Linked DNA regions of Callithrix jacchus. The protein of the gene in region 1 interacts with the protein of each later gene in a biochemical or structural test. Links are inferred from orthologs where the notes say so. Each region holds a gene or a part of one and is shown in the gene's direction. Other genes may lie near its edges. The genes, in order: UBC, ANKIB1, USP47, LTN1, ZFAND5, BIRC2 and WDR48.

What was found.
Region 2: the proteins of UBC (region 1) and ANKIB1 form a complex in vitro, tested with the Homo sapiens proteins (2 studies listed by BioGRID). The link is inferred for Callithrix jacchus from reciprocal best matches to the Homo sapiens genes UBC and ANKIB1.
Region 3: the proteins of UBC (region 1) and USP47 form a complex in vitro, tested with the Homo sapiens proteins (2 studies listed by BioGRID, with this or other methods). The link is inferred for Callithrix jacchus from reciprocal best matches to the Homo sapiens genes UBC and USP47.
Region 4: of the proteins of UBC (region 1) and LTN1, one has a biochemical effect on the other in vitro, tested with the Homo sapiens proteins (2 studies listed by BioGRID). The link is inferred for Callithrix jacchus from reciprocal best matches to the Homo sapiens genes UBC and LTN1.
Region 5: the proteins of UBC (region 1) and ZFAND5 form a complex in vitro, tested with the Homo sapiens proteins (5 studies listed by BioGRID and IntAct, with this or other methods). The link is inferred for Callithrix jacchus from reciprocal best matches to the Homo sapiens genes UBC and ZFAND5.
Region 6: the proteins of UBC (region 1) and BIRC2 form a complex in vitro, tested with the Homo sapiens proteins (6 studies listed by BioGRID and IntAct, with this or other methods). The link is inferred for Callithrix jacchus from reciprocal best matches to the Homo sapiens genes UBC and BIRC2.
Region 7: the proteins of UBC (region 1) and WDR48 are reported together in a solved structure, tested with the Homo sapiens proteins (2 studies listed by BioGRID, with this or other methods). The link is inferred for Callithrix jacchus from reciprocal best matches to the Homo sapiens genes UBC and WDR48.

What each region holds. Positions count from the first base shown.
Region 1 is NC_133510.1:128,100,836-128,104,583, reverse strand, and holds UBC (polyubiquitin-C), read left to right. Parts: upstream 1-1,336; 5' UTR 1,337-1,351; coding exon 1,352-3,181; 3' UTR 3,182-3,248; downstream 3,249-3,748.
Region 2 is NC_133512.1:57,373,075-57,377,366, reverse strand, and holds the start of ANKIB1 (ankyrin repeat and IBR domain-containing protein 1), read left to right. Parts: upstream 1-1,492; 5' UTR 1,493-2,025; intron 2,026-4,292. UniProt on the Homo sapiens protein: Might act as an E3 ubiquitin-protein ligase, or as part of E3 complex, which accepts ubiquitin from specific E2 ubiquitin-conjugating enzymes and then transfers it to substrates.
Region 3 is NC_133511.1:77,826,860-77,830,359, forward strand, and holds part of USP47 (ubiquitin carboxyl-terminal hydrolase 47), read left to right. Parts: intron 1-2,102; coding exon 2,103-2,278; intron 2,279-2,633; coding exon 2,634-2,714; intron 2,715-3,500. UniProt on the Homo sapiens protein: Ubiquitin-specific protease that specifically deubiquitinates monoubiquitinated DNA polymerase beta (POLB), stabilizing POLB thereby playing a role in base-excision repair (BER). Acts as a regulator of cell growth and genome integrity.
Region 4 is NC_133522.1:35,055,263-35,058,762, reverse strand, and holds part of LTN1 (E3 ubiquitin-protein ligase listerin), read left to right. Parts: intron 1-219; coding exon 220-318; intron 319-1,525; coding exon 1,526-1,756; intron 1,757-3,500.
Region 5 is NC_133502.1:92,473,291-92,477,357, forward strand, and holds the start of ZFAND5 (AN1-type zinc finger protein 5), read left to right. Parts: upstream 1-1,267; 5' UTR 1,268-1,681; intron 1,682-2,117; exon of another isoform or gene 2,118-2,532; intron 2,533-2,769; exon of another isoform or gene 2,770-2,819; 5' UTR 2,820-2,906; intron 2,907-4,067. Other genes in the region: uncharacterized protein LOC144578672, read left to right, coding at 291-676, 949-1,267. UniProt on the Homo sapiens protein: Involved in protein degradation via the ubiquitin-proteasome system. May act by anchoring ubiquitinated proteins to the proteasome. Plays a role in ubiquitin-mediated protein degradation during muscle atrophy.
Region 6 is NC_133511.1:2,401,419-2,404,918, forward strand, and holds part of BIRC2 (baculoviral IAP repeat-containing protein 2), read left to right. Parts: intron 1-1,233; coding exon 1,234-1,312; intron 1,313-2,288; coding exon 2,289-2,337; intron 2,338-3,500. UniProt on the Homo sapiens protein: Multi-functional protein which regulates not only caspases and apoptosis, but also modulates inflammatory signaling and immunity, mitogenic kinase signaling, and cell proliferation, as well as cell invasion and metastasis.
Region 7 is NC_133518.1:76,948,039-76,951,116, forward strand, and holds part of WDR48 (WD repeat-containing protein 48), read left to right. Parts: intron 1-593; coding exon 594-670; intron 671-2,822; coding exon 2,823-3,015; intron 3,016-3,078. UniProt on the Homo sapiens protein: Regulator of deubiquitinating complexes, which acts as a strong activator of USP1, USP12 and USP46. Enhances the USP1-mediated deubiquitination of FANCD2; USP1 being almost inactive by itself.

The sequences.
Region 1 (3,748 bases):
GACACCCCGACTCTGCGGGAGGCGCTCAGTTCCCGCCCCACGTCCACCGAACACGAGTTGGCGACCCGTGGCGACCGCGGGGGCTGAAGGGAGGGGGTGCACGATCGCAGCCGAAGAACGCCGGCCGCCCACCGACTCCAGGCGCCGCAGTTCCGGGCCGGGTTTTGGCGCCTCCCGCGGGCGGCTCCCTCCCCACGGCGAGCGCCGCTACGTCACAATCGCAGTGCGCAGCTAGTGCCTTGATCCCTCCGCCCGGCCTCTCAGGACGGCGGCCCGCTGCCCACCAGACTCGGCCCAGAACCCCAGTCTCAGCAGGAGGACATTTTAGGACGGGACCTGGGTGACTCTAGGGAACTGGTTTTCTTTCCAGAGAGCGGAACAGGCGGGGAAAAATAGTCCCTTCTCGGCGGTTCTGCGGAGGGATCTCCTCGGGGCGGTGTACGCCGATGACTATATAAGGACGCTCCGGGCGTGGTGCAGCTAGTTCCGTCGCAGCCGGGAGTGCAGTTGTGTTCGTGGTTTGTCCGTTGCTGTCATCGCCGCTTGGTGAGCAGTGGGGTTCTGGGCGGGCTGGGGCTTTCGGGGCCGAACGGCCGCGAGGTGGGATGGAGGCGGGTTGCCGCCCCGGGTCTAGAGACTGGGGAGGGCTGTCGGCTGTGTCCGCTAGAAAGGTGGGCTTGAGGTGGGGAGAACGCAGCAAAATGGCGGCTGTTCCGAGCGCTGCGTGGAAGACGCCTGTGAGGCGGGCCGTGAGGTCGTTGAAACAAGGTTGGGGGGCATGGACTCAAGGCTTGGAGGCCTTCGCTAATGCCGGAAAGCTCTGATTCTCGTGGGATGGGCTGGGGCACCATTGGGGGACCCTGACGTGAAGTTTGTGATTGACTGGAGAGCTCGTCTTGTCCGTTGCGGGGGTAGCGGTTACCGCGTGGCCGCGCGGCAATGGGGCGCGCTGTGGGGGGGGGAGAGCGCGCCTTCGCTCTGTGGTGACGTCACCCGTTCTCGTTCTGTCGGCTCATAATTGCGGGGCGGGGCCACCTGCCGGGAGGTGAGCGGTGGGCTCTTCTCCGTCGCAGGACGCAGGGTTGGGCCTAGGGTAGGACCTCCTGAATCGACAGGCGCCAGACCTCCCGAGAGGGAAGGGTAAGCGAGGCTTCAGTGTCTTCGGTCGGTTTTGTGTACCTACGGTTGTAAGGAGTTGAAGCCTGGGTTTTGAAAACAGGCTGGTGAGTGTGTTTTGTGAAGTAACGCAAGTTTTAATTGTTTGGGTCAATGTGACATTTAACTTACAGCATTAGGAAGGCTAATAAATTGCTAAATCCTGGTGGTTTTTGGCTTTTTGTCAAAACAGACAATGCAGATCTTCGTGAAGACCCTGACCGGCAAGACCATCACCCTTGAGGTCGAGCCCAGTGACACCATTGAGAACGTCAAGGCCAAGATCCAGGACAAGGAAGGCATCCCTCCTGACCAGCAGAGGTTGATCTTTGCCGGAAAGCAGCTGGAAGATGGGCGCACCCTGTCTGACTACAATATCCAGAAGGAGTCCACTCTGCACCTTGTCCTCCGTCTCCGAGGTGGCATGCAGATCTTCGTGAAGACCCTGACTGGTAAGACCATCACCCTTGAGGTCGAGCCCAGTGACACCATTGAGAATGTCAAGGCCAAGATCCAGGACAAGGAAGGCATCCCTCCTGACCAGCAGAGGTTGATCTTTGCCGGAAAGCAGCTGGAAGATGGGCGCACCCTGTCTGACTACAATATCCAGAAGGAGTCCACTCTGCACCTTGTCCTCCGTCTCCGAGGTGGCATGCAGATCTTCGTGAAGACCCTGACTGGTAAGACCATCACCCTTGAGGTCGAGCCCAGTGACACCATTGAGAATGTCAAGGCCAAGATCCAGGACAAGGAAGGCATCCCTCCTGACCAGCAGAGGTTGATCTTTGCCGGAAAGCAGCTGGAAGATGGGCGCACCCTGTCTGACTACAACATCCAGAAAGAGTCTACCCTTCATCTCGTCCTCCGTCTCCGAGGTGGCATGCAGATCTTCGTGAAGACCCTGACCGGCAAGACCATCACCCTTGAAGTCGAGCCCAGTGACACCATCGAGAACGTCAAGGCCAAGATCCAGGACAAGGAGGGCATCCCTCCTGACCAGCAGAGGTTGATCTTTGCCGGAAAGCAGCTGGAAGATGGGCGCACCCTGTCTGACTACAACATTCAGAAAGAGTCCACTCTGCACCTCGTCCTCCGTCTCAGAGGTGGCATGCAGATCTTCGTGAAGACCCTGACTGGTAAGACCATCACCCTTGAGGTCGAGCCCAGTGACACCATCGAGAATGTCAAGGCCAAGATCCAAGACAAGGAGGGTATCCCTCCTGACCAGCAGAGGTTGATCTTTGCTGGAAAGCAGCTGGAAGATGGGCGCACCCTGTCTGATTACAATATCCAGAAGGAGTCCACCCTTCACCTCGTTCTCCGTCTCCGAGGTGGCATGCAGATCTTCGTGAAGACCCTGACTGGTAAGACCATCACCCTTGAGGTCGAGCCCAGTGACACCATTGAGAACGTCAAGGCCAAGATCCAAGACAAGGAAGGTATCCCTCCTGACCAGCAGAGGTTGATCTTTGCCGGAAAGCAGCTGGAAGATGGGCGCACCCTGTCTGACTACAACATCCAGAAAGAGTCCACTCTGCACCTTGTCCTCCGTCTCAGAGGTGGCATGCAGATCTTCGTGAAGACCCTGACTGGTAAGACCATCACCCTTGAGGTCGAGCCCAGTGACACCATTGAGAACGTCAAGGCAAAGATCCAGGACAAGGAGGGAATCCCTCCTGACCAGCAGAGGTTGATCTTTGCCGGAAAGCAGCTGGAAGATGGGCGCACCCTGTCTGACTACAACATCCAGAAAGAGTCTACCCTTCATCTCGTTCTCCGTCTCCGAGGTGGCATGCAGATCTTCGTGAAGACCCTGACCGGTAAGACCATCACCCTTGAGGTCGAGCCCAGTGACACCATTGAGAACGTCAAGGCAAAGATCCAAGACAAGGAAGGCATCCCTCCTGACCAGCAGAGGTTGATCTTTGCCGGAAAGCAGCTGGAAGATGGGCGCACCCTCTCTGATTACAATATCCAGAAAGAGTCCACTCTGCACTTGGTCCTGCGCTTGAGGGGGGGTGTTTAAGTTTCCCCTTTAAGGTTTCAACAAATCTCATTGCACTTTTCTTTCAATAAAGTTGTTGCATTCCCAATTGGTGTGGGTTTTTTTTTAAGTTAAGGTATTTTTGCATTAGATAGGGTGAAGGGGATCAAGGTTTCCAGTCCGCAAATGTTACCGTGGTAACCATGAAATGTCAGTGAATGGGGGGAGGTAGATTTACAATATGAACTGTAGAAAGTGGGTGCAAATAAAACGCAGGTTCAAGACCAGCTTGGCCAACATGGTGAAACCCCAGCTCTACTGAAAATACAAAAAGGTGTGGCAGGTGCTTGTAATCCCAGCTACACCGGAGGCTGAGGCAGGAGAATCCCTTGAACCCAGGAGGCAGAGGTTGGCAGTGATTTGAGATCGCAGCACGGTACTTCCACCTGGGGGAACAGAGCAAGACTGTCGTAATCAGGTTATTGGGAGATACTTTTTCAAGTTACTTAAAAATACTGGTTGGGGGTGTGTGAGGTAACAGGAAGGGAGAAGGAATATTAAAAGGTGGGAGTGATGAGAGGGTCCCTGTGAAAGAATGAAGTACATAGG
Region 2 (4,292 bases), on another chromosome or scaffold:
TACTTTTTTACCATGTCCCCAAAATATTCTTACAACGATTTTCAAGAACTATTCCTACTTGACTACTTAAAATCTACATTCTTCCAGAGACATGAAAGAAGGAAACAAAGGCTTAAGTCAGGAAAACAACAAAAGCAACTAACATAGGAAGGTAAAACTACTAAGACAGAAACACCTACAAATTGATAGAAAATGAGTAGTTTTAGCTAAAATAAGAGAAAGGTATAACTAGAGTTTGCAATATGTTTAGAGTGAGTCTGAGATGAGGGTTCAACTGAATAAGTACAGGAAACGTGGCATTTTGTTATATGGCTCACTGTATTCTAGAAAATGTTAGGCACAAATGATAATATGCTGCCTAAGTAATGAAACGTTATAAATAAAGTGGTGTAAGTGGTTCCTTAATTGGGAGGTGGCACCTACCTGGGATCACTGGAAAATATGGAGGGCATTTCTGGTTGTCACTATGACTGGTGAGGGGAGGTGTACAACTGCCATTTAGTGTCCATGGAACAGGTTTGCTAATATCCTTAGTATGCTAGACAGTGCTTGCAAACAGAAACTGTAAAGACACATAGGTGCTCCAGAAGAGTTAAGAAAATGAGGCTGAGATCCTGAGTTAGACTAGCGAGATAAAAGACTTCTGGAGAGGTTAAAAACACCACGTAGAAAAGGCGATGAAAGCAAAAAACCTTAAAAGGTGGAAAAAGGTGTGGAGGCAAGAAATGAGTTAGAGAGGGAGAAATGAGTTAGAAGTGAGCTGCGAATCGCTTTCCCTGCAATGACAAAAATACGTAATCACTTTGCATGGGAGGTTTTTTTCCTGCGCCACCACCCATCGACGTCCACTACCAGAGAAAAATTTAAGTCTCTTTGCTCAAAGAGTTTCCACCCAAAAAGTGGCTTTGGTTTCTCTGTAACTAAATGTGGAAAATAAACTCCTTGCCTGGGGCAACTAGATGTGGAGATGGTTCAGTCTCCCACCTCTGTTTTCCCTCGCTGGAGTCGAACTTGCTCCTTCTGTTTCCCAGAAGGAACCAAGAGGTCCCACCCGTACGGACGCCGCGAGTGCCTCTCCGGCCGCTACATTCAACTAAATGAGTGGGACAGTCACCTGGCGGGGGGGGGGAGGCAGGGACCGTCACCGCTTTCTCATTCCTCCTTCCCTTCTTCCAGGCACAGCAGCCTGGCCCAGCTTCCTGTGACGGAAAAACCCTCATTTGCCAAGCCGACCGCAGTGTTCCCCCGCGCTCCCCACCCGGGGCCCCAAAAGCTCAGGTCTCTGGAGTCGGAGACCCTCTTGCCCACCTGCTCTTTATTGTCCTTCCCTCTCCTCGGACCTCGGCATCATTCAACCCTCACCCTCTCCCGAAACTATGGGGTCCCAGGTCTTCAGAGGCCTTAGCTTTCCACCCCGCAGCTACCGTGGCTAGGAAATCGCTTCCGGGTCCACACCCTTTGCAGCCTCGCGGTTGGCGGAGGAAGAGCTTCCGGGTCGGCGGCCGGGCTGCTGCCGTTCCTGCTGCTTCTCGGTGGACTTGCAGTCTCTCAGGGGCCGGTGGCAGGCGACTAGGAGACTAGGGTGGTGGTGACGGGGGTGCCAGCAGCTGAGCCGGAGCCGGGGGAGGGGAAGAGGGCGGCCTGGGCTGAGAGCGTGCAAAGCTGGAGCATGAGCCGGACTTGACCGCGAGGCGGAGGCAAGAGCCACCGCCCCCTCTTCCCCTCCCCAGAGTGAGGCGGCGCGGCGGCAGCCGGAGAGGGATGGGGGGCACCCACCCTGTCTGAGCCTCGTCGCGGGCGCCTCTGGCTCTTGCTGCTCGCGGGCCGCCAGTGCGCACCGTCGGCCACATCAGCCTTCGCCTGTCGGGGGTGCACTCGGGCAGGCGAGGAAGGGGCACCCGTCGGGGTGGGTGGGGCGGCAGGGTACCTGAGGTCACCAGCTCGGCTGTAGAGGCAGGGGCGGCGGAGGCGGAACTGCGGAGCTGCAGGGTCCACCGACCTTTACCTTCGGCGGGAGCGGTAACCGTAAGTCTCAGCTTCTGTACGGATCTGTTTGAGGCTCTCTCTACCGATTTTGGGCTCCGAGTTCAAAGCTACCTAGTTCACGCCCTCCTGGATCTACTAGGAGTGTGCCTGTCTCCTGTTTTGGAGCATTGTCCCTCTGTCCTCACCCCTGAACAGGCAGCATTCTCTGTCTCCCCTATAGGGCTTTTCTCCCAGGGAATTTGCAAGCCTCCAGGTCTCCGTGACGCGTCCCATCCTCCCCATCTGGATACATCTTCTTGTCCCTCTGTCCTCAAAGGATCTGTGTCCTTCTTCGCATCCTCCCCTGCCCATCCTTTGAGACGTGGAAAGCCGCGGGTTCTGCCGATCTCGGCGGCTAGAGAGAGTCTTTAGGAATGGATGGGTAAAAGTGCTCTGCAGGGCTGTGCTGGGTGGGGATAGGTGCAGATGGTTCCAGTGAACCTTTATTTTTTGCAGCTTCTGCCACCAAAACAAAAGAGTGGAGCGCTCCCCTGTATTCTGATTTTTCTCCCTATGTACGAGCTATTTTCTGTACGTGGCTGTTTGAGATGCAGGAAATTGAAACTGGAGCTGTAATAAAGCATCTCCTGAGGATGTTTTGAGAATTAGTCTCCCTAGCTCTTCACACGGAATGGCATGTCGAACAATCTTGTTTGAAATGACCATCCATTTCAGAAGATCTTTACTAGTAGGTCTGTTAGATGAATGTAAAGATAAGAGTCTGCTGTTTCAAATAGTGTATTTTAGATACCTTTAAATTTTAGTGTTTTTCATCTAGTTCTTAATTTGTGAAGTATGTGGGTATGTGTAAGGTGTGAAAATCTTTGTATTGGAAGCTTTTGCTTTGGTAATGGAGACAAGAAACTTAAAAAGATCATATTAGATAGTATTTGATAATTATTTTCAATCCTTAATTCCAGAGAAAATTTTTTAATTCCAGAGAAATCAGCTACTCACAGATATTACACACCTTGCTGCCTATGACATTCTTGCTTCTTAGTTTAAATTGTGAATATCTTCAAAGTGTATTTTCAGATTTTGAACTAGACTTTTTTCTCATTAGAATTTGATTTGCTTTTTAAACTGCTACTGCAGAACTTTCCAGAAATTAGATTTAAAAATAATTTTAATGCTGACAGTGATTGAACAATAGCTCTTATCTGACTTCATGCATCTGCTACTTTTCAGAGCACCATAGGAAGCAAATGATAATTTAAGAATAATTTTACTCTGTACTGCAGATTGGTATTCTTCAAACTACTGTGTAGTATGAACTGGTAGCTTTGGTGTTTTGTGTTGCTGAAAAGCATTGTCATTTCATTAAGAAAGATGGATATATTTAATGATTTTTCCCCCAAATCTCATTTCATCAGTTGATTTGGGGCTATTATTTGATTTGTAACTTCTCACTGTTCACAGATGTTAATTTGAAGTAGGCTCAGGAGATGTAGCTCCAGCTCTCTCTCTGGAAATGTACTTAGCACAGAAACCAAGCACTGTACGGAGTTGAGCGTATTATTAAGGGTGTGGCTTTTGCTTTCTGTAAAATTGGTCAGTTTCTGAATAAGAGTAGGGTGCAATGGTGAGGTGATGGGTGCTATCTTGGAGAAGTCTTAGAAAAAAGTATTTGTTGATTCTCTCTTTTCCTTGGGGTAGGATGGGGAAGATAGGATTATATTTTCCTATTGCACTGGTCCCACTGAGAATTTTGAGTTTTCAGTATGTAAGGATTCTGAAACTGAGCAGACTGTGCTGTAAACAAGGGCTTTAACAGGTAGGTGGCTCCTGAAACATAGGAGGGAGCCACTATAGCACCCTACTCTTATTCAGAAACTGACCAATTTTACAGAAAGCAAAAGCCACACCCTTAATAATACACTCAACTGAAACATAGGAGGGAAATTTTGTTAGCCATTCTTTTGTACTCCTGTGGCACTGCCCACTTCTCAAAGAGTAAGTTTTCTTTACTTTCTTTTCTGGGGTATGCACTCAAACTTGTGAAAGTGAAATATGCGTATTTACAACTTGCTTGTAGATAAAAGTGTAAGCTCATTTTCATATATAAGTAGATGGACGAACTATGAATTAAGTTAATTTGAATGTCCTTGAAATGAAGTTGGAAAAGATTCCTGAATGTTTTGGGTAATTTTTCCCCCTTTGAAGATCACATAACATTTATTTAAATTAAGTTTTAAAAGATTTCCTTCAAATATTTGACACATTTGCCAAAAAGCATTTGGGAGGGGACTAAATCATTATTAAAGAGA
Region 3 (3,500 bases), on another chromosome or scaffold:
ACAAAGTAGTTATAGCCAATAAATTAACACTCTACCAAAGCTATCCTAAACATTTTACATGTATTGGCCTCAGAACACAACTTTGAGGTTTAAATACTATTATCTCCATTTTATAGCAAAGGTAATTAAAGTACAGAGAAGTTAAGAAGTCACAGTCACAAATCTGATATATGAAGAGGAGCCAGGAATTCATTCAGTCTAGGCCATCAAATTCTAGAACCAGTCGATTATAATCACCACGTTAAACTATATCAGTAACCAACAAACATTTTTGTCTTCCTATGAAATAACACTACTAGAGGTTAGGAAAGAAACCAGAATATTCATAAAAGCTTACATTTGATTAATGCTTTAGAAAAGACTTTTACTATATGTTATGATCACATGGGAAAACTGAGGCTGAGGGAGATTGGATGACCTCCCTACAGCCATTTATCAGAGTAAAGTGACAAAACTGAAATCTAGCCATAGGCTTTCAAATTCTAATCAAGTAATTTTTGGATGACACTGTTCTGTTAAGAAATTTAGTACCTTTATTGGATAGCATAGACAGAGCTTGTTTGCCATAAGCTGGATTATTGACATAGAAGGGTACTCCTTATAGATTAAAAAGTGACATTTTAAACAAATCAAGAGAAATACTGCCTCAAAACTCAAAAGGTAGATAATGAATAAAGTTCATCATCCTCTTCATATTTTCTTCAAATCTGTACTTGTCACATTTTCTATTAATGAACCTATATTTTATAGCCAGGAAAGCAGTGAACATTATTTTATTTGAAAAAATCAGCCAGGTGCTGTGGCTTAAGCCTGTAATCCCAGCACTTAGGGAGGCCGAGGCGGGTGGATCACAAGGTCAAGAGATCGAGACCATCCTGGTCAACATGGTGAAACCCCGTCTCTACTAAAAATACAAAAAAAAAATTAGCTGGGCATGGTGGTGCGTGCCTGTAATCCCAGCTACTCAGGAGGCTGAGGCAGGAGAATTGCCTGAACCCAGGAGGCAGAGGTTGCGGTGAGCCGAGATCACACCATTGCACTCCAGCCTGGGTAACGAGTGAAACTCCGTCTCAAAAAAAAAAAAGTCATCTGAGAAAAATTCAACCTAAGCGTTGATATGACATGGGAATGTAAACCAGGAGTGTTTTAGTACCTCATCCTTTACCTTCCAAGTAGCTTTCACAGAAAAACAAGACCTAACATGGAGGGAGCCCTAGAGCCAGGGAGGTCCAGCAGTCTGAGGCAGCATGGTAGCCCTGCCTTATTAGCAGAGAGTCTGGTTTCTGCTTTTTACTACAATATGAAGACCACAGTAGAAGCATTCCAGATGTGTCCTCATGAGTGGCTTATAAAATTAGGGACAAAAGATTAAAATAATAAGCATTAGAGAAAAATCAAGCTCATCAGAGATAATCTTTACAGTAGCAAGAGAGCTTAAATTTAAGCCTGGAAGAGGTAAGAGTTTCTGATCCATTTAAATACAGTTCTTGTTACAGCCCAACCATATGATAAATCAGACATCTTAGTATGCTAGTCGTGACATTTTTTCTAGTGAAAATTCTGAAAATTAGATAATATTACTGACAGTTTTTGAGACAGTTACTATATTGGCACTGCGCTGAAAGCATGATAAATGAATTACGTCACTGAAATCATATTGCATCACTCAGGTGGGCACTATTATCACCTCCATTTTTCTAGTAAAGAAAATGGAGGTACAGCGGCTGGTGACTGGTGCCATGTCCCATATAGTAAGTAAGCAGAGGAGGTAGGATTGGAACCACTAGAACTTACACCATGACTGTGTAGAGCTAGAAATGTGTATATTTTAAAAGAATTCCTAGAAGCTTGTTTTTGAGTTTGGCAGCCTAAGCAAACAAACACTTAAATAGCTCAGAACATTTTAAGCTGTTGGATAATACTTACCAGAAACTCTGTGTCCATGATTTTTCTCCATTCAGTGTGATATATTAGCTTAACTGAAAAGGGGTACTTTTTCCTGCAACAGTGTTATAAAAAGTATATGATCTGTTTTATTTATACTCAGGTTTCTTTTACATTTTGTTCCTGCTTTGTTTTTTTCTTTGTATGTGTGTGCTTAGGGATGATGGTGCATGTTGATAAAAGAATTACTCTGGCAGCTTTCAAACAACACCTAGAGCCCTTTGTTGGAGTTTTATCCTCTCACTTCAAGGTCTTTCGAGTGTATGCCAGCAATCAAGAGTTTGAGAGCGTCCGGCTGAATGAGACACTTTCATCATTTTCTGATGACAATAAGGTTGATTAAAATAATCTTCAAGCAGTTAGAGTCTATTTTGAATGATAGATTTGAGAACAGCTTTTACTACTTCCAAGTAGGGTGAAGTAGATACACTAGAAGAAACTTTTTTTTAAATGTTTAATGGTAATTTGGGGGGTTTTTTGTTGCTTTTCTTCACTCATCTAACAAATGTTTGTAAAATGTTAACTGTGGGTCAGTTACTGTTCTAGGTGCTAGGGATTCAGAGGTAAAAGTTATGCCTGTTCTCAGAGAGCCTATAATCTAGAGAATTTTGGAAGGTTTAAAATGGGATGAGAATGGGTTGTTTATTCTGCTGAGACAGCATATCTAAAAAAATATTTTTAACTTATAGATTACAATTCGACTGGGGAGAGCACTTAAAAAAGGAGAATACAGAGTTAAAGTGTACCAGCTTTTGGTCAATGAACAAGAGGTAAGTAATACATTTAAGAACAATATAAGGTTACTTTTTACAGTTACTAAAAACATACATTGTAGAGATTTTATTCCTAGTCATTTTATTTTTCTGAAGCAGAGGTCAGCAAATGTTTTCTGAGCCTTGTAGTTTAGCAGGCCGTACTGCCTCTGTTGCAGTTACTCACTTCTGCTGTTGTAGCACAAGGAGCCATAGACAATAATAAACCATTGAGAATAGCTGTGTCTCAACATTTTATTTACAAAAGCAGGCAACAGTGAACTTGGCCCTCAGACCACTGTTTGTCATCCCTCTGCTCTAAAGTGTTGCTACAAATGCTGAAATGAGACAACATTTTCCTGCTTTTAAAAAGAATTTTATGTGTGTTTGTGTGTGCTTGCTTTCTGGAAATTATCATAGAATGCTACAGGTGAAGAGCAGTTGAAAGTCATTTTATTATGTAACAAGCATTTATATAGTATCTACTGTGTGCTTTAAGTGCTTGCAAATATTAACTCATTTAATCCTCATCAATTATGATACAAGCATTATTTCTTATTCCCATTCTATAGTTAAACTGAGGCAGAAAGAAGTTAAGTATCTTGTCAAGGTCACACTGCTTGTAAATGGTGTGGTTAATGATCTTAAACAGGCTATGTTTTTTAAGGAATCATCAATGAACCATTTTAGTCCCTGTGGTATACTAGCCTTACCACAAACACCTAAAAGAAAAAGGCAAAGATCATATTTTTCAGAATGTTATAGCATCCTATTGTCATAACATTCTGTTATAACATTGTTATA
Region 4 (3,500 bases), on another chromosome or scaffold:
TGAGGTTTTTTTCTTTGTAGATGTTTTATTTTTTAAAAAACAACTGTGGAGTTTCTCCCATAGTAGCCTGTGAAGGAGCTCTTCAGACTAGTCCCCTATGGCGTAAACAGAAATGGTGTATTCTCCTGCTACATACAATAGACAAAGCTTCCAGAACAGAGTAATAATAGCCAGTAGTATAGTTGTTAATCCTTAATTATGTTAATAACTTAATTTTAGGCTATGCAGGAATTTGGAACCATGTGTACAGAGAGAGACACAGAAACTGTGAAAGGAGTTCTTCCATATTGGCCAAGAATTTTTTGCAAAATTTCACTTGTAAGTATTCAAACTTTGCTAGTTTATTTCTGTTGTATGTTTTTGGTTGGAGTCATGGAGACTCTCAAATTTGTAAGGTTGATTTTTGGTGAGGGTTATTAAATGTTAGATTAGTCTTGTTATACAGATTGAATTTTTAACACTGGAGAAGAGTGTAGAAATAAAAAAGATTGGGGCCAGGTACGATGGCTCATACCTATAATCCCAGCACTTTGGAAGGCTGAGTTGGGCAGATCACTTTAGGTCAGGAGTTTGAGACCAGCCTGACTAATATGGTGAAACCCTGTCTCTACTAAAAATACCAAAATTAGCCAGGCATGGTGGCGGATGTCTGTAATCCCAGCTACTTGGGAGCCTGAGGCAGGAGAATCCCTTGAACCCAGGAGGCGGATGTTGCAGTGAGTCAAGATCTCATCAGTGCACTCTAGCCTGGACAACAGAGAGAGACAACGTCTTTAAAAAAAAAAAAAAAAGAAAATTACTGGATTGTGTTGGGTTATGAAGAACATTGAGGAAATCTGTTTTCAGAAATAAGGTTGTTACTAGAGAATTACCCAGGTGCTTTCCAGTTTTAATACATTTTGACAATTATTTTATTCCCTGTAAATTTGCTGCAGAAGAATGAGAGTGAGTTGCTTAATTATTCAAGGCCCAACTTTTTTTTTTTTAAATTGAGACGGAGTCTTGCTCTGTCACCCAGGCTGGAGTGCAGTGGCACAATCTCTGCTCACTGTAACCTCTGTTTCCAGGGTTCAAGTGATTCTCCTGCCTCAGCCTCCTGAGTAGCTGGGATTACAGGTGTGTGCCACCATGCCTTGCTAATTTTTTGTATTTTTTATTAGAGATGGGGGTTTTACCATGTTGGCCAGGCTGGTCTCAAACTCCTGTCTGTAAATGATCAGCCCACTTTGGCCTCCCAAAGTGCTGGGATTATAGGTGTGAGCCACCGTGCTCAGCCTCAAGGCTCAACTTTGAATCTGTTTTGAATATAATCCTATCATTGGGAAAAGGGGAGAAAGAAAAATTAATTATTTTACATAATTTCTGATTTAAAAAACCTCTAAATTATTGATTTAAAAAATTGATTTCAGTTTGGCTCAATACATAGGTGAATTCTTGGTAATGGGTCATTATAGCATATTTGGAAATGTCTGTGACTGTTTTTCTGGACTAGAGCTATTTTAAATCACATTTATATTTTTAATAGGATCATGATCGTCGGGTCCGAGAAGCCACACAGCAAGCTTTTGAAAAACTTATCCTTAAAGTAAAGAAACAGTTGGCTCCCTACTTAAAAAGTTTAATGGGATATTGGCTAATGGCTCAGTGTGATACTTACACACCAGCTGCTTTTGCGGCAAAAGATGCATTTGAAGCGGCTTTTCCTCCAAGCAAGCAACCTGAAGCCATAGCATTTTGTAAAGATGAAATTACAAGTGTAAGTTCTGGAATCATTCTGAATTTTTTTTTTTTTTTTTAAGTGTTTCAGGTTATAAGCATACCATAATGACAGCTCTTTTACTTAGGATTGCAGGGGAATGAGTAAGTATAATATTTCCAACTGAAGATTGCCATTTTAAGATTCTGTTTAGTAAAGTTGACTAATTTGGATCTGTAACAATTTAACATTTGGATTGGATCTTTCTGCAGTATTTCTATTTTTCATTTTAGTTTTGAAGTCTTTATTTTTTAAAAAAGTAGATATGTTTTATAATGTGTAATCTAAACAAAGAATGTATCTAAGAATAAATCTAAATTATTTTCTCTGATATTTCCATTTCAGTACATATATACAGATCTACCTTAGTCTCTTTTTGTTGGCTTTCTGGTGTAACTTTACTTGAATGTACTATAGTTTAACTCTTTTTATATTAATATACATTTGAATTTTTTTCTAATTTTTTATCATAACAAATGCTACTTCAGTAAACATTCTTGAGTAGAACTCTTCATACGCTTGTGGGAGTGATACATACTAGAACTTGTAGTAAGCATTTGTTGGGCCAAAGGATAAGAACATTAAAAATTTTTATAAAAAATGATAACTGGCCCTTCAGAAGGCCAAACAAATTTATACTCCCATTATCAGATAAAGTTTCTTCACACTGGGCCAACACTTTTGCCATAACTTTTTCATAAAAAGTTACCAGCCATACCTGTTTGTGGCTTTCAGTGTGTCTGTTTCTAGTAGTATCTTATTTCTTCCCCCTTTATTTGCTGTTCCCAATATATGGCCTTGAAAAACGAGACAACAGAGTTGTTAGAATTATATGGAGAAATAAAGTAGATGAAGTAGGAGTGAGGAGGGACTTGATAATTAAAAAAAAAAAGTCCATGCTTGCATTTATTCCCTTATTTAGTACTCCTATGTTTCCACAACACCCTGCGTATAACCCTACTTAAACATTTCTGTCTGACCCTCTCTCTCTATTTTCCTTTCTCCTTTCAATTAGCCATCCTGCTGTGGCTCTCCATTACACTATCAATTCAAATGTCTTGTCTTCACATACACTTGTCTTATGGTGTAATATAAGGCAAATTTCTGCACGATCTGGTCCCTGCTTACCTGTCTAATCTCTTCACCGAACACTTCCCACCACATTACTTGATTCTAGTTCCCCATTTAGGTTCTTCCATTTTTCATTTCTCAGGTGTACCAAGCTTGTTTTTCTAGGGAGAAGGCTTGTAGCTTTAATCATATGCTCAAATGGAGTTCTCTAGCCCATCTGTAACTTGAGAATTTTTGGTTGATTTAAAATGCCAAGCGATAAATGTTATGAGAGTGAAGTGTCGTGAGTTTGGACATTAAGAGTTTTAGGAAATGGATTTTGAGACAACTAATTTGGCTCTTCATAGGCTTTAAAAAAATAAATTTGTTCTTGGCTTTGTCATGGATGGTAACAGAATGAACATATGGGTTCTGTTATCCATATGTTCATTCTTCTATTTTATTTTCCCTTTAGTTGGCTATGCCACAGTTCAGCTATTGGCATTGAACTGTCTCAAATTCCAAACCCATGTATTAGGAGATAGACAAATGAAAATCAAAATGTCAACATTATAGATAGAATATCATACTGTCTATAAAACATTACGATAAATGTCTCTAGGTCACACCATTAGTTCTAGTCCCACTCTGCCATCAGGTATCAACTAGGTGTGTGACCCTGGGCAAGTTTCTG
Region 5 (4,067 bases), on another chromosome or scaffold:
ACCTGAAGCGCAACAAAAACCGTATCAAGGAGAGAGAGGCGTAGCAATCTTTAATCACCCAGTGATTTTTTTTGATTACGAACTTTGAGAAACACTAAAGGGACCTCTTCTCCATTCTATATGTGGCTAATATAAGCCCTAAAAGTCATTTCTATGTATTCGTTAGATCATTGTTTACTAGAAAATTTGGGAAGTCCTTTCGGACTTAGTAATTTCATTATTTTGAGTTGAACTGAAAGTCACTTGGATCAGTCAGTTGTAAATGGTTTGTGCTCTGAAACGGTTCCCAGTGTTTCGAGGTAAGTCATCCTTTCACCCAGGGGGGTACCGGTTCCTCGTGCCTGAACTGCCCGCCCAGTACCTCCCCCCTTGAACTTCCTCCCGCAAGCCTCCTCCTCCGCTTCATCTGGGCCTCAGGTCTAGCTTGTTTTGTCCCTTCGCTGCACTTGAGTAGAACATTTGGTGCTTTCCCAGGACACTACATTTTGCTGGAATGGTCAATTTCCAGGGATTTTACAGGCTGGCCAAAACAGTTTGTTCAGAACAGCGCCGCCGGGGCACTGGCAGCCCTAGGCACTAGTAGCCCTGAGAGGCAGCGCGTTTCCTCATCCGCACAGCCACTCGTGACCTTGGGCAAGCGAAGGCGCGCCGCCGGCCGCGTCAGGGCCACGCTCAGGTTGGACTTTGGAGCTGAAAATGGGGGTGGGGAGTGAGGAGGTTTCACAAACAGAAAAGACCCCAAAGCCATAAGGCGGTTCTCATTCTTTTTTGAGGGTTAATCCTTAAAATTCCTGGGGGAGGGAATGTCTACCCAGGGTTGGAGACAAAGCGTGAGAACCAGGATGGCGAAAAACGAGCCTGAATGAGAAAATCCGAAGGAGGGAGGCTGAGGGCGGACAATTGGGTTAAAAATAGAAACGCACCCTCCTCAGGACTCGCTCTTTCCAGCTCCACCCAGAGGCCGAACGCCCGGCCAGTGGCTGGCTCCGCGAGAACCGACAGCGACCCGGCTCAGCCCCGCCTCCCGGACCTACTGACTGAGCGCCGGGGGCGTGGCCTCGGGCCCTCGACGTCACCGCGGCCGCCGCTGTCGGGGTTTTCGCTGACGCACGGGTCCCGCCCCCTCCCCCTCTTTTCCCTCACAGCCCGGCCATCGGGCTGCGAGCCTGTTAGTCGGCCGGGAAGCGAAGCTGTGTGCATCCTCTACGCGGGCTTGTTTGCTCCCGGGAGCCGCGCAGCTTTCCCAGCAGTGGCAGAAGCGGCGTAGAGCGCCATCGACGGGCCCTTACGGCCCCAAGCCTCAGGGCGCGCGATTCGCTCCCCCTTGTCCGCCCAACGTGCCGTCTGTGGAGGCGTGAGGCGACGACGGGCGAGCGCCTAGTGAAGCGTTAGCCGCTGCGGCCTTCGGTCCTCCCTCTGCTCCTCTTCGCCCCCCCCGCTTCCCTCCTCCCACTTACCGAGCTCCGGCGTGTCCCGGCCACGCTCGTCGCCGCTGCAGGAACAAAAGAAGACCCCGCGGCGGCGGCGGCGGCGCCACCTCCGCCTGCGGCTCCGACCCGCTCCCGGCCCGCGGCGGCGGCGGCACCTGGGCGCCCGGCTCAGCCTTCCCGGAGGCCTCAGCCCGGCCTCACCGTGCCGGCTTCGCGCGCGAGCCCGGCTTTCGCATTTGGGGCCCCACAGGGTGAGTGGTACGGGGTTGGGGGCTGGAACCGGGTTCCTTAGGCCGTGCCGGGGGCGGGAGTGAGGGGACGGGCGGCGAACCCGGTGCAGGCCGCGGATGGCGGCGTCCGGGGGAGGGGAGCCCGCCCGCCAGCTCAGGAAGCACAAAGACGGAGGCGTCATCCTGTCGTCGTGGCCCGAGGCCTGGCTCCCCGCTTCCCTGGCTCGCTCCAGAGCGCTGTCGGGAAACAATGCCCGGCGTGCAGCCTCTGCGGGGCTGGTCTCTAGGCCGCTCGCCTCCCGCCCGGCCGCCCTCGGCGGCGGCGGCATCCGGCGTAGGCACCAGGACCCGGAGAAACAAAGAGGCCAAGGCGCCGGCCGCGCCCCCTGCCCGCTGCAAACCCCCCGTTCCCCCCCCCCCCCGCACCGGTTTTTTCTCTGAAGAGCCGTTCGGGGTCGGGGATCGGCGTGGGGCCTGCGGGCGAAGGGCGGGCCGGGCCTGCCGAGCTGCTGTTCTGCTGTTCTGCATGACTCAGTGGTTTTAGGAGAAGGCCCTACTGGGCTTTCCTGAGCGGGGCCTTTGCTTGGAGGGGGATGGGGGAGCAGTGGGACCCGAACTTATTCTAAAATCCATTGGAACATGGGGCCAGGGATTCTCGACGTCGCTGCATGTCTACCCTGAGATCCGTTTTCATGGAGGAAGTGGAGCACCTTCTCCTTTGTTTGATGCATTTAGGCTGGTGAACGTAAAAATTTTGATCGCTTTCCACGCACCTCGCGGAGCTGTGTTTTCGGGGAAGGGTCGGGCTATCTTTTATTGATTGAATGTCTATTAAAGATATAATTTATCATCCAATCCAAGGAGATACTAAGGTAAAGGAACATGTAGGTCACACATCCCGTTCTTAAACCTGGGATTTAGATACAGATTCCTAAAAACCTAAACGAATTCTATTTTATTCCTTATTAGGATTGTTTTTAAAGTAGGATTTCTTAACTCGGTAAAAATATTGCAATTTTATCTTTAAAGAGTTTTCTTAAAATGTTCCCCCACGCCTCCCTAAAAAATTAAGGATTCGTTGTAGTTCTCTCCTGTTTTCTATCTCCCAGGCCCTGAAAAGGAGCCTTTAAAAGTCAATCCTCCTCCATTTGACAAACAGGGAGCTGAAATCTGGAAAATAAGGACTTGCCCAAGGTCACTGGCTTAGTGGCAAACTAGAGACTTGAACTCAGTTCTCAATTCCCAGGTGAGTGGGAATTCATGCCGTCTCATAACGTCTTGTGCACCTGAAGTAACTATATTCCATGGGTGTAAAAGCTCTTTGTTCAGAATTGGAATTGATGAATTTTTCAGTTACACTCAGGTTTTTTTTTTAAGCTGTGAGTTAGAGGAAGCCATAAACTTTATAAAATAAGTGTTTTGGTTATACCTGATAGAGCTGACACGTGCATGCTTAAGTTTCTAATTACTTTAAAGGTGATAAATATAATGGTATTTTTTTTCTAAAATACTGACGAGAAGGGAAATGCAACCTGATGATAACACACATTCTCCACTTCATCCTCCAAATAATTGCCACTAAATGAGAATTCTTTCTTATACGCTCTCTCCACTGTGCTTAGTTTTTTTATAAACAACCTTGACCATTTTAGCTTTGAGTGATTTTTATGCCTTCATCTTCTAGATTGAGATTGTTCTGTAGTTCTTTCTCATTAGGAAAAAAACTAGCAGGCTCTTTTGTTTTCTTATGTTAGATATATGAACGCTGCATCCTTAGTTCTTGGGGTTGTGTAGGAGTTGGCAGGCTTTGAGATATAAATAGAAGCTGATTTCAGAGGCCCCTGTTGACTAGGCTTTATGTGAGAGCCTCCATCCAGCTCGGCTTGTCACATTGCAGCCTTGTGACAGGCTGAAGCGCCCTCCCATGTGATCTAAGCTTCTGAGAAATATTAAAGCAAGCTGTGCACATGTGATGGCATTTAAAAGCTGGCTTTCTAGGTGAAAAAAACCTAAAAGATGGGAACCCGTGTAGAAGACTCTCATGTCATGGTGCCCCTTGTGCGTCTCGCAGTTGAAGGTTATTTATAATGAAATGAAGGTAGACATCTTCTCTGAAGGGAAAGTGGAATACTTTATGTCAAAGTGTGTGAAATCTTTAAATGGAGTATCCTCCATTTTATTTATCTAAAAGATTTTAACAATCAGATTAAAATTACATATGTAGGTTGATTGCTTGGCCTTAAGCCAGTTTGTTTTTAAAGCCAACGTCAGATGACAGTGGACATTAGTGTAGAAAATGTGAGCTGGCATACTTAAACTGGTTTTAAGGAATGACCCAACTTTTATGCATAGGGCAAAGATTCACACATTTTGTGCATGGTGGGCATGCAAATATGTACATATTTAT
Region 6 (3,500 bases), on another chromosome or scaffold:
TATCTTGAGGGTTAGTGGATGTCTCTGGAGACCTGCTCTGGGGAGGAGCCTAGCGGTGTTTGCCACTGAGGACCGTGATGGCACTCACCGCATGACTGATACAGATAGCCCTCACCCCTTTTTCTCTAGGTGTCTCTGCTGAGCATATCTCCTAGCTCTCCTTTCTTCGCGGTTATTCTCCCTGTTTTTTCCCCACTGTATTGCTGTAGCCTTATTGGGCCATTGTGTCCTCCCAGAGCTGTATTTGTTTGTGGATAGCTGCCTCTTTGTTGTCTTTTTTGGGCGGAGGATGGCTATTGTCTCCTAGTCTGCTATCTTGCTGATATCACTCTTGGAAACTTTCTTTGAGCTGTGGCTTTTCATTTCTTTAACATTGACTTTTGAAGAGCAGATGTTTTCAATTTTGATGATGTCAGTTTATCAATTTTATCTTTTGTGGATTATGTTTTTGGTCTTTTATCTAATAATTCTTTACCTAATGTAAAGACAAAAGGATTTTTCTCCCGAGCTTTTTTCTAAAGTTTTATTATTTTAGGTTTTTTATTTAGGTGTATGATCCATTTTTACTTTACTTTTGCATATAATATGGGGATAAGTCAGAGATTTTTTTTTCCATGTGAGTATCCAGTTGTGTAGTATCATTTGTTGAAGAAACAAAAGGAATAGAATGGATATAGATGGGATGTGAACTTATTAGAACATCTTTGATAAGCCCTATCAGTTTAAAAACAAATATTTGGAAACACTGTCATATTTAATATGTAGATAAAAATATTTGATTCTATATTTTTTGGAGGGAAGGTAGTTGATTGTGGTTCAAATGTAATAGAAGAGTGAGCATTAAAGAAAGATTAGCCGTTAAATTGTGAAAGATCACATTTTAGGAATATTGAGTTATGTGAAACTGTTAAGTAGTCCACTTTAAGTACAAAATAAATTGTGTATAATAGCATTTTTCAGGAGTTAGCTTGTTCCCCTTTGTAGGTGCACATGCTTTTCTTTTTATTGTTGTGTTAATGGATTGAAATAGAAAATATCATGATATATAACATACAGTAAGATGTATATTGTTTTATGATAATTTTGTTCCTGTTATGTATGTGTTCTGGGTTGTGATATAAAATGTTTTTACTGTGAAGTACAATAAATGATCTGAAAACCATTTTTCTAGAATGATCAGGTTATATTTGATATGAAACAGTTTTTAAAAGTAATTTTCCTCATACGTTTTAGATGTGAGTTCTTGATAAGAATGAAAGGGCAAGAGTTTGTTGATGAGATTCAAGGTAGATATCCTCATCTTCTTGAACAGGTAAATACATTTTTAAAATTAACAACATTGAATTCTGCTTTATAATAACAAAAATATTATTAGGTTGGTGCAAAAGTAATCGTGGTTTTTGCCATTGAAAGTCATGACAAAACTGCAATTACTTTTGCACCAACCTACATTAGAAGTTATACTTATTTCTGGCCAGGCAGTGGCTCACTCCTGTAATCCCAGCACTTTGGGAGATTGAGGTGGGCAGATCACAAGGTCAAGAGATCGAGCCCATCCTGGCCAACATGTGAAACCCCGTCTCCACTAAAAATATAAAAATTAGCTGGGTGTCATGATGTGCACCTGTAGTACCAGCTACTTGGGAGGCTGAGGCAAGAGAATCACTTGAACCTGGGAAGTGGAGGTTGCAGTGAGCTGAGATTGCACCACTGCACTCCAGCCTGGAGACAGAGCGAGACTCTGTCTCGAAAAAAGAAGTTATACTTGTTCCTGTTTTATTAATTGCAGTTACATATTTCATTCATATTAATGACACCTTTGATTTTTATTTTTGTAACCAACTTGATTGTTTAGGGCTTTTTAAAAAATATTGTTTTTACTATTTTGAAAAATCATTTGTGCTGCCACTGTACAAATTCGTGATGGATTGGAGAAGGCTCTTTAGTGTCTCTTTGCTGTTTTCCGGAAAAACAAACAAAAAATAACTTGTTAGGAGCTGACACCCTTTGAGAGTAACCCAGTTAAAATTTTACTTTCCAAATGGAATGATAAACCACTAATACATTTTTCTGCTTTCTTGAAACTAGAGAAATACTTGAATTATAATTTGGGATAACATGAAATTTAAGGAAATCTATGTATTTAGGTAAAAGAAAGCAAAGTGATGGTCATAAATCACTCAGTTCTCAAAAGATTGTATACACTTAAAGTAAACTTAGTTTAAAAGTGTTGTTCCTTTCAGATTGTTGGGGATCTCTGATTTTACCTATTTTCTCTTGTTTCATAGCTGTTGTTAACTTCAGACACTACTGGAGATGAAATTGCTGATCCACCAAGTATGTATGAATTAATTTTAAATATGGAGTGGAAATTTATATAAGAATTTTAGGAATGGGCCAGGTGCAGTGGCTTACATCTGTAATCCCAACACTTTGAGAGGCCGAGGAGGGTAGATCACCTGAAGTCAGTGGTTTGAGACCAGCCTAGCCAACATAGTGAAATTCCGTCTCTACTAAAAATACAAAAAATTAGCCGGGGGTTATGTGCCTGTAGTCCCAGCTAATCTGGAGGCTGAGGCAAGAGAAAAGCTTAAACCAGGAGGTGGAGGATGCAGTGAGCTGAGATTGCGCCACTGCACTCCAGCCTGGGTGACAGAGCGAGACTCCATCACAAAAAAAAAAAAATTTTTTAGGAATCAAAGTATGTATTTTTTAAAAGTGTTTCTGAAGCCATAAGAAAAAAAACTGGGATGTTAGCTAATACTATATATATGTGTGTATATATATATATATATATATATATGTGGAGAGAGAGAGAGAGAGTTGTTAATAAAACTAGAGGATCATAAAAATATACTAGTCTTTGTTCTAGTGCTATACTTACCACTTTTAGTGCTGACATTCCAACTGGAGAAATGAGACAGAAGCAAAAGAAAAACAAATAGCTCAAAGCAACACCAAATAAGAGGTGCAAATAATAAGCCCTCCAGAAAGGAAAAGGTTGCTCTGAGCTAGCATGATTTGGAAAAGGTCAGTTTACATATGATTCAAGAATTGAACTAGATGTTGGGTATTTAAGTCACGTATGTTATATTTAAATGCAAGTGCAGGAAATAGTATAGCTTTTGATTAGAGCTTAATGTTAACCACATCTGTCAGTTTATGTAATATACGTATGTTATGATATCTAAAATGGCTAAGGTAATAATCCATTGTTTTATGTACCAGTCACACCTACAAAGGCCATTCTGTTTGTGGCACAGCATTTCAAGAAAGGTATTGGCAGATTTGTTAACTGGATCAGAGAAAGGTGACCAAGATATATAAGAGTCTTAGAAACCATGGTTCAGGAGGATTGCATGAAGGATTTAGTAGTATTTGATTGGAAAATAGGAATAGGAGTACCTGGGTACATGACGACTATCTCCTGTGTAATAGACTGAGAAAAGATAGACAGCAGTGTGAGCTCTTGTTAAAATTTATAACCACTGCTGTCAAGT
Region 7 (3,078 bases), on another chromosome or scaffold:
CCTGAGAAAAGATGACCACGTAATTGTATCAACTTCATCTAAGCATGTGGTTTACTTCATGGTGGACGCCTGGGTTCTTAGCTGAAGTTTCCACTCTTTCTTAACACCTCAGACCTCACTCTGACGTCAGAGGGAAAGAAAACGGGAGGACCTTGAGTGGCCTTTTCAGTTGGATGATGGGCCTCGCCAGCACAGAATCTGTGGCTTTGCCCAAAGGTGAATGCCATGGGTTTCTGTCAAGACACTGAAGTTTTTGTTTGGACCTTTAGGTATCAACCTCAATATTTTAATGTAGAAATGAGAGTTTGGTTTATATGGCTTAAAAAATTAAAGTTTGTTTCCCTTTAATGCCTTCCATTGTTATCTAAGAAGAGCCATGCTACAATTTCATATTACCACTAAGTTACATATATTTTTCTGATGAATTTTCTCCAAGGATGACTTAGGTAATTTGATAGCTTACTATAAATTTCATAGAAAGCCACTTTTAATTTTAAGATAATTATTACTTGCAAGTCATGTTTTCCTGTTAACATTATTTTAGTTAACAGCTAATAGAAACTATTATACCTTTTTAACTTTTACTGTTTCAGAAAAATATGCCCAAATTCAACAAAATTCCTTTCTACCTCCAACCTCATGCATCTTCAGGAGCAAAAACCTTAAAAAAGTAAGTAAACATATGGTTTCTTGATCGAATTAACTACTGGAGATAATTCCTTTTCCTTATGATTGCTTTTGTGGCAAAGGAAGCAAATACCAAATCTAAGGCTGATTTTATAATATTGAAAGTTTATGATTAAACCACTTACCAGGTACCAACTTTAGCCGACTGCAGGTGTTCAGAAGTAAATAAGGCCAGGCACAGTGGCTCATACCTATAATCCCAGCACTTTGGGAGGCTGAGGTGGGAGAATTAATTGATGCCAGGAGTTTGAGACCACCCAGGGGAATGTCGTGAAACCCGTCTCTAGGAAAGATTTAAGTAAAAAAATTAGCTGTGCATGGTAGCACACACCTGTAGTCCAAGCTAGCCAGGGGGTAAAGTAGGAGGGTCCTCAGAGCTTTGAGGCTGCAGTGTGCAAAGATCATGCCACTGCACTCTAGCTTGGGCAACAGAGAGAGACCTTGTCTCTAAGGAAAAAATGATAAAATAAATAAAACATGCATTTTGTCTGTTGCCATAATTCACAGTTTAGGACACAACCTGTATATAATTGCTGTTTGGATACTTAGGGAATAATAAGAATGGGAGAAAAAAATGAGTTTTTGGCTGGAGCTTTCCAGACAGGCTTCTTGAAAGACGTGGAATTTGATCTGGACATGTAAAGATGGGTAGAACTTCGAAAGATAGATATTCCAAGTCCAGGACATGGTGTGATCAGGGATGTGGCAGTGGGAGCATGTGTAAGATAGTGGAAAGTAGTGGGAGGACCCGTGCAACTGCAGCGTGGGATGGAGGGGCAGCAGGGGGATACTAGGACGGAAACTAGAAAGGCGGTTAGAGGTTTTAGAGGTTTTGCTGATGCTGGATTTGAATGCCAAGCCATAGAGTGTGCAGTGGCTAAACACCAGAAACTTTTGAGCCAATGTGGGATATGGCCTAGGGACACCCAAGAGAGGAATTTTAGTAGTGTAGTAATGGAATGCTAAACTGTTAAGAATATGTATATTCTAGCAAGTAAAATCGAAAGTTTTCAAAACCCTTTTATTACAGAGATTTCCGAACTTACACAGAAAGGATAGTGAGCCCCCATTGTCCTATCAGATAGCTTCAGTAATTATCAATACCTTGCTTAACATTTTGCTTCATCTATACCTCTACCTGCCCTCTCACCCACCTCCCTCCACACACATACACACACACACACACACACACTCACATACACGATTATTTTAAACTGAGTCCTAGACATCACTTCAGATAGACTTAACAACTGATGTTCAAATGGTTTTCAGAGTGTAAGCCTTAGTTTTTTGGTGTGGTGGAGATACAGAAGTAGGGTGTTGATGAATCTAGTTTGGGACATGCAGAGTTTGAGGTGCCTGTAGGATATCCAGCTGTTGGATTTGTGGTTTAGAACAGAAGCCTGAGACTCCAGGTCTAGACTCAGGCCCACAGGTGCTAGTTGAAGGCATGGCAGTGGGGAGGAGAGCCCAGGGAAAGCTGAGCACTCAGTGTTGGACCCTGGTAAGCATTGGGAGCTGCCTTCCTTTCCAGAATTATTTAGTTTGCCCAGGCTCTGGGAAAGCATTCAAGGGAATAAAACCCAGAAGGCTACTATGTATGCATATGTAGTGTTTTTGTTTCTTTAGTTGGTTTGTTTTTTTTTTAAATGGAGCCTCACTCTGTCGCCCAGGCTAGAGTGTAGTGGCATGATCTCGGCTCACCGCAGCCTCTGCCTCCCGAGTAGCTGAGATTACAGGCATGCACCACCACACCCAGGTAATTTTTTGTATTTTGGTAGAGACAGGGTTTCACCATGTTGGTTAGCCAGGCTGGTCTCGAACTCCTGACCTGAAGTGATCCACCTGCCTCGGCCTCCCAAAGTGCCGAGATTACAGGCATGAGGCACCACACCTGGCCTGTACATGCAAGTTTTAAGGACATGAATTAATCTCATTTAGTTGTACATAAACTGTGTCTTTGAAGGACACTGTAGAAAATCCTTTGGCAACTCTAAAAATGGATTAAGGGAATGACTAAAAACATGGGTTTATTTTTCATCTTTATAAAACGTTCACATCAAAGAAAAAGAATTTGGAAAAGATAATACCTCAGTGATTTCCCTGATGTCACAATATGCCATTGCTTTTTACAGAGATAGACTCTCTGCTAGTGACATGCTCCAGGTCCGGAAAGTTATGGAACATGTTTATGAAAAAATTATCAACTTGGATAATGAGTCTCAAACCACTAGCTCTTCTAATAATGAAAAACCAGGAGAACAGGAAAAAGAAGAGGATATTGCTGTGTTGGCAGAGGAGAAAATTGAACTTTTGTGCCAGGACCAGGTAAGTGGACTTGAGGACCACAGCCCCATTTTTGCCAGTGCTGGTGCTCATAAGGAATTACGT